2 linked regions of the Coturnix japonica genome follow. The protein of the gene in region 1 purifies or fractionates together with the protein of each later gene. This does not show direct contact. Links are inferred from orthologs where the notes say so. Each region holds a gene or a part of one and is shown on either strand. Other genes may lie near its edges.

Region 1 (3,824 bases):
TCCTGTTCCAAAAGGTACTATATTCAAATTAAATATAATTAATATAGAAAAATAATCCCAAACCTGCTGAAAAAATTTAGTTTTAATAACATTTTGAGAGGTAATCAACATTACTAACATGTTAGCACATACTTATTCCTCTGAGAGGCAGAAAAAACCTCCACAATAACACACTTAAGCTTAGTCTAATTTATCTAACTAAGTAATCTACATGTTCTTTCAAAGTTGCTTCTGCAGAACTCCCTTACAGGTAACAAGAGAACATCTCACTTATCTTGGACAGCCTAACTTAGTTTGAACTGAACCATCCTTTGAATAAAATAACATCTTTTTTCTCTCCACTGAGGATAATAGGACCAGCTGGGAATTTTCACTGGCTTACTTCTTAGCCTTATAATGTCACACAGGAGTTCTGCAGTATCTATCATTAAATAGTTTCTAAGATATCCAGGTTTCTTCTCATCCCCCAGAGTAACCTACAATTCCTGTAGCTGCCCCAGTATTGTATTTAAGTCTGCAGGGAAAGCAAACAACATTGCAATCAAATTAATAAATGCCCAGATTTACCTGGTCTGGTGACTGGATACATTTGAAACACTGAAATATATGAGTTCCTTGAGCTGAAACCAGGCAAGGATGTAGAGCATGTTCAGACTGACTTGTAGCAATCAATGCAATCAAACTCCCCAAGGAAATAACTTCTTTTATCAGATCTTTCAAAACTAAACAGAGAAGACGTTGCTGAAGGAATTGCAAAGTAACAAAAAGATTCTGTATTTGATTACATACATTATATACAGAGAAAATAAAAAACATTAAAAAATACAAAATATTTTCTTTATTCTTCCGTTTAAAGACTTTTTTAACAACAAAATAACAAAACCAAGCCAAATTAATACAATGAAAATCCTCCAAGCATCCCAACCAAACAATACAATTATTTTTTCTGGGACAGTATATTCCATTACTAAATGTCATCAAAAGTGCTGTTTAAAAAGCCAAATTTTTGCAAAATAACTGATGATATCTACCACAGGATACTAAACAATATTCCTCTGCGGTATGAACTCCAATCTAGAAACATACCACACTGTTCAGAGGCAATAATGATAGAGACAGAGTTATCCAGCTGGGACAGTACAACTGAGGTGCCAGAAATTCTAGGTTGCTTTACACTTTTATCCAGATACAGGTAGTGGAGCATTACCATAAGCAAGTCTAGTGCTCTGAACTGCTTCTGGGCTGTTCTCGTGCTCTGGTGTAGGAGGTACTCCAACAATGTGATCAAGATCGTCCATTAAAATAATGGATGGTTGTCTCCATGATGCCTCTAAAAAAGCTTCTTCTACATTTTTCCTTATGTTTCCTAATCTTTTTCCTAAAAGATAAACAAAGTTTAATGACAAAACATAACAGGATATGACTGATAAGACTGTCATATCTTGCTCAAGTAATATACCAATACTTGGATTCAGCTAGCTTACATGCGCTCCTATAAATCCAGATACCTATTTTAAAGCAGAATCAGCATGAGGCTACATGTTCTATCAAAAACCTACTTTCACTAACACAAGCATTCCCTAACACTTAACTTTTTACATTTGTTCCAGCCAGCACAGCTGAAGAAACACGCAGTTAATCCTGCCACTTTCTCCTCATTTTATCACCTTAAAATAAACATGGCAAGAGTGGTTTGAATGCAGTGGTGGTATGAGGGACAGAAGCTGACAGATGTGAAATAAGATTCCTTGCAAAAGGAAATTTAACAATAAAACAGAAAAATTAGATATGGTAACTTCATAATTACGGTTCTTTGTCATAAAGCAATTGTTTGATAAAGAAACAGGTACTACCATACCTCTTAAAGCTTTGCAATCAATTACTTCTACATGAGCATCCAGTCTATCAAAAGCTTCTTTGCAGATGGCTTTTGCTAATGTTGATTTTCCACTTCCCTGTAAAAATAAATGTGAGCTAATATATAAGTTACAGAACTACATGCTTCTGTTTCTGTAGAATTTTTATCAAATATACATCAGCTGAGCTGGGAGGGCTGGGAGCACTTTGGTTTTACTCCTCAGAATCATACAGTTATTCTGGCTCTGCATCACTTGGTAGGGACCGAAGCCATAGGCTGAAACAAGCCTAGGTCAAAATTGGAGCGGTTACATCCACTACAAACAGTGCTGTGATTCCACTTTTATCAGTGTTGTTTGTATTATGATGGAATTTAGTGTTAAATGCCACTACAAGAGACGCTCATAGCAGAGCATCGACTATACTGACATTTTATGTTAGTTAGAAAATAAGAGAAAATACTGTCTTCTTACTTTCACGTATTTCAGAGACAAGAAGTACCCACTATATAAACATACAGTAGATTAACAACCTATGGAGATAAACTGAAATTGTATTGCTACCAATCTTTAAATTTATATAACTACCTATATATCATCATAGTATCATATAGATGGATATATGTGTATGTACATAAAACACACATACACGTGTGTATATATATACACACATATACACACAGTAATTGCAAATATATAATGTAATAGGACATACATAATGTTCTACCATATCAACTCTGTTCAGCTAACTGCTTGTTTTTCAGCTTGTCCTTTAGTTCCTTGAATTTACATGGTGACAAAGAGAACTAATGAAAACAGTTCTGTAACTGTGGAAGACCGCTGAGGAGGAGTTTGCAAGTGCAAAGCAGTAGAACACATACCTTGCCCCCTGTGAGAAGCACCCCTCCACTTCGCAGTCCCACAGCGATACCAGCCAGCTTCTGAGATAAAGGACGACCCAAAAGACTGTGGCTTATGTGTTCAAAAGAAGACGCTCCTAATTTGTCCACTCCCCTGAACAGCACATAAAACATTAAATGGCCTAGAGTAGCATCAGCACACACGATGTAAATATTAATAATCGTAGTATAGTGAGGTTTTGATACTGAATATGCAAATTAATGCGTATTTTCACAACTAAACCTGAAAAGACAGCACCTTTATTCTGTAGAGGTAACACACAGGGGGCACAGACAAAGCAGATCACCTCTGTTTGTTGAACAATTAATCACTCAATGTATATCACCCTAGCAGGAAGTGGGTCTCAGACAACAGAGCTAACTTCAGCTTTTGGAGTTTCACCTCGTTGAAGGCCCAAGTAACAGCCTCTTAATGAATACAATGAATTGCTAACACATGGTGCACATCTGGGTCAGATAACCCAGCCTTTCAGGACTAAAGCAGCACGTAGTTCACTTGCAGACATCTTTATCCTTCACATGTCTCAAATCTTTGTGTCTTTTGACACAACAGTGCCCCTTTCAGGTTCACCACCAGCAAGGCTGCCTGTTTTGTATTTTGTATTGTATTTGTGAAAAACAAAATGAAGAAATAAAGCTTGTTTTTTTACATCCCTACCCTACCATGCTACCCCTTGGTCAGCTCCCATTGCCTCATCAAGCTCATGTTCTCAGTCGCCTTTCAAAATGTCAATAGCATACTACCACAAGTCTCTTGAGTCCCCTCTTTCTTAACCCCACTTGAAGTTCACTATACAGCACCACTGTTTGCCCTTATACAAATGACAGCAGCAATATCATAGAAAGGGCTGAGCCTGACACAAGTCAAAATACCAAATGATGCAGAATCAGGCTGTAGGATCTGACTCAATTCAAAAAGGAAAAAAAAAATGCACTTTCACTAATATTCTTTTTCATTATTTCCCATTCCCTCGTGCATTTTCTACTATGAAGATGTCTCACCCTAAATGGTTTAGTCTTTTGTAAGGAAGGTTTCTGTCTGTATCAC
Region 2 (3,875 bases), on another chromosome or scaffold:
GATTGTTTCCTTCACATATCGAACTGTTTCCTTCACAGAGGATGCCAGAACAAAAAGCAGAACATTTGCTGTTACATCTGGAGATACCAGTGTGAAGTTTGCATGCACGTGGCAAGCACAAATATCCTCTCTGAACAAGCCTTAAGTGGTAGGATTCCAATGGAATTAACACAACTGCATCTTTTCCCTCCACGATACATTAACAATGCAAAGAAAAACAAAGATCAAGACAAGTACCAGGTAGTTTATTCTCAGTAGTTCTGATCTTGGCCATCCCAAAGGATATAGAAACACTTAAATATATATATATATATTTAAATAAATATATATTTTAATATATTTTAAATAAATATATATATATATATATTGCATCTTTCACAGAAAATAATTATTACTTTCTGAACTCCTATGAAAATGCAGACATGTAAATCTCTACTTAATTAGCAAGTCTGCTACCTGATTCCAATATACTTGTACAACGAGGACACATATGAAACATTTCCAGAACCTATTTCAAGGCTCTACAGCATGAATATATTAAATGCTAAAGCTCTGATACACTTAATCACAGCACAAATAAGCAACTCTACAAAGAGGTAAATGAGTAGTCATTTTATTTTATTGTAAAAATTAAATATTGCAGGTTTAGCATTCATTGCAAAAAAAGAAAGATCGGTTGTTTCTGCTTTCATCCCTCTCATGGAAAGCTAAACACAGTTCAAATCCAGTATCAGTAGTACTCAAAAGAAGTGGAGGTTGCCAACGTACCAATAAAAACAAGTTGAATGTTGGAGTTCTGGTAAATGAATGGCTGTGATATTTAATGGAGCTCTACACATAACATATGGTCTGCCCTCTGAACCCATTCCCCATAATGCAGCTCTGCCATTTAACTGGAAGAGTTAACAGAAACTGAGATTTAAAAAGTGGCTGTTAGCTGAACGGTCACATATTGCTTAGAATTTAGTCTGACTTCAAAAGGAAATTTATTGTTTCATGAACTACTGGTTTACCAAGTCTTTAGAGCAAGGTCTTGCAACTAGGTGGCCAGTAGATGCAATCCAGTCACTTTCTGCAAGAACTCAATTCCAGCCAGACCCTCTGTGTTGGATTCTACCTGGTTTTCCACCAAGCACTGGCTGCAGGGAAGTGTGGCTACACTGATAGTTAGATGACATATATCATCTAGCAGTATCAAGAACTGCTCCTCCCCGTATACACGGTATATGATAAATATATATTTTTAATTGGGTGAAGCATTGTGTGCTACTTGTTCAGTTGTTAAGTCCAACTGAGACAAAAATTCCAGGGGAGAGAGGATAGGAATGTCTTGTAGTTTTACTTTTTTGTTTACCTGAGATAACTAGGCAAGGTGATGACAGCTTCCTGCATTCATAGGTGCTCCACTTTATCTCACACGAACACCAGGGTACTTCTCTATCAGGATAACTCAAGAACAATATAGACAAAGCATGACTTTTAGCAGTAAAGACACAGACTTTTCCACATAGCCTGGTAGGCTGCAAAGTGACAGAGCACACCAACAGGCTGCTGTCCTTGTAAAGAAAACTGAAACAGCCACTACATGTGCAGAACCATTGCTAGGAACAAATGATTGATTTGAAGGAGGATACCACAGTAAGATGCTGCAGTGGGACCTATATTGGCTACCCTACACAGGCTTGGTGTGTTGGATAGAAACTGCCCAACCAAAAAGGAGACTTTGTTTCTCTAAGGTGGATGTTGGTCAGCCTGAATCATCTTGGCACAGATGCAGGAATAGCTGGCTACATTTGCCACATGGCTCTAACTTGTTTTCTCCAGCACACATGCAGCGTGTTAGAAGCAATCCTGAAATAGTGCTCTCTCCCTTGGCACTCACTCACTGCTAATCAGTGGGAATTAATTGTTCTCCTGCAGACCTCCAATCTCTGCCCCAGGTGATCAGAAACAGCATCAACTGTAAGACCTTCTGTAAAGACAGTAACTTTCTTGCCACAGCTGTGGGGATCTCAGAGTTTCGACCAAACAATTGTCTGCTCTGAATGACAGAGCATTGCTGAATGGTTACCATGTAAATTAGGACTTTATGGGCATAGGAGGAAGGTTTCTAGACATACTAGGACTTGCTGACATCTTCATAAACAAAGCGAGAGGTGGGGAAAGAGTAAAACAATGCAACAAGCTCAGTGGTTCAACTAGACAACAATGTGGAACATAATTTAAAAAAATAAATTTCATTACCACTGGCACAGGCTCCTACAGATTACCATGCACCAGGCAAGCACAAGGTACTATAATCTGCATTTAAGATCTGTAGGTGCAGCACAATAGTACTTGTAGCACACCACCTCGGCTTTCTGCCATAGATACAATTAAAATCAAGAGCGCCTGTATGAGGAGGCATCAGTCACAAGAGAAACCACGGTGTTCAAAACACAACATGCTTCATTTCCTGCAGTGTTTTTCTTCCATGTGCTTGTCCTCAGCCCCATGCTAGAAGAACTGGGATCTGAGATGTCATCAGGCTCAAAAGAATATTCCCCCTAATTACACTGTTGCTTTTAACATTCCTGATTCCAGGAATGCTGTTTCAGCTGTTCAGGGAACTGCATCATATGTGCAAGAATGGAACCATCTTCCAAACAGGCATCATACTTCATAACTGTCTACACAACTCTCACTCAAGAGCCACAACCAAAGTAAAGTGTTTCAAAAGGAGGATCTTAATTAGTTGTAGATTACAGAAGGAGTGGATTTACTCTGGTGTTGGACAGAACGGCACCAAATAGCCAAAGTAATGTCAGGAATACTTGGCATGGCTTCAAAATTCATACACCACCACTCCCTGTCTGAAGGAAGGAGAGGACCACTTCACAGGAGATCACAGGTGGTCATCTGCACTAGGACACTGATTTCAACGGTCCTTGAAGAACTTCATAAAGTCCTCAAGACAAGCTGACATAGGAGCAGAGGCAGAAGACATTTAGTCTTGAATTGGAGGCCTGTGGATTGGAGACAACACAGCTGCCCAAGCCTGTCGGAAGAGCTGCACCAGTTTGCAAATGAACGGCAGGGATGTAGGAGAAGCTGCAGAGCAAAACAAAGAGCAAGATAGTTCTACCCTTTGAAACAGACCAAACATATTAAGAAAGGACTAATTCAACTACAGCTAATGGAAACCTAGGTGTCTTATTTCCTTCTGTTCAGTTCAGTACTTAGGCCCTCACCCTGCTGCCTACACACCCTCGCTGCTCCCTTACCTAGCAAGGTCTTTTCAGTATTTTCCAACACATTATTTGCAGCACAGCTATGGAGCACCTGCCACCCAGCAGAAGGGGCATCTCCAGGTACGAAAAACATGCAATCCCTCCACAGCCCAGTAGCCTCTGTGTCACGCAACCAGCCCATTCTTCAGAGGTCAGGCAGTGGAACAAGCTGCCCAGGGAGGTGGTTGAGTCAGCATCCCTGCAGGTGTTCAAGAAACATGTAGACACTGTACTAGGGGACATGGTTTAGTGGGAAAATACTGGTGGTAGGTAGATGGTTGGATGGATGATCTTGGAGGCCTTTTCCAACCTCAATGATTCTATGCCAGCTTCAGCCATCACTTGTAAGGCCTCAGTATAAGAAAATCAGAAGCATGACCATGATGCTGCCCCTGAGCAACTCTGCTTCCCTGACAGGTCAGCCCTAAATTGCAGTTGCTCTGCCAAGAGACTTTCACCTTGTAGCACCTCAAAGCCACCGAGGCAGAAGCTGCACCCCTTAGGGTACCCCAGCCTGCCTCTCTCTGTCAGCATTTTGTCTTTTGGAAAGAACTGAGGATGAACTCACTGTTCACAGAAAGCTGGCTTTTGTAGCGCTACATCTTT

The links.
Region 2: the proteins of PEX1 (region 1) and PEX26 purify together in Homo sapiens (affinity purification with western blotting; 3 studies listed by BioGRID and IntAct, with this or other methods). This does not show direct contact. The link is inferred for Coturnix japonica from reciprocal best matches to the Homo sapiens genes PEX1 and PEX26.

What each region holds. Positions count from the first base shown.
Region 1 is NC_029517.1:20,660,616-20,664,439, forward strand, and holds part of PEX1 (peroxisome biogenesis factor 1), read right to left. Parts: coding exon 3,779-3,824; intron 2,871-3,778; coding exon 2,738-2,870; intron 1,956-2,737; coding exon 1,859-1,955; intron 1,379-1,858; coding exon 1,208-1,378; intron 723-1,207; coding exon 568-722; intron 1-567. UniProt on the Homo sapiens protein: Component of the PEX1-PEX6 AAA ATPase complex, a protein dislocase complex that mediates the ATP-dependent extraction of the PEX5 receptor from peroxisomal membranes, an essential step for PEX5 recycling.
Region 2 is NC_029516.1:50,688,507-50,692,381, forward strand, and holds the end of PEX26 (peroxisome assembly protein 26), read right to left. Parts: intron 3,091-3,875; coding exon 2,987-3,090; 3' UTR 598-2,986; downstream 1-597. UniProt on the Homo sapiens protein: Peroxisomal docking factor that anchors PEX1 and PEX6 to peroxisome membranes. PEX26 is therefore required for the formation of the PEX1-PEX6 AAA ATPase complex, a complex that mediates the extraction of the PEX5 receptor from peroxisomal membrane.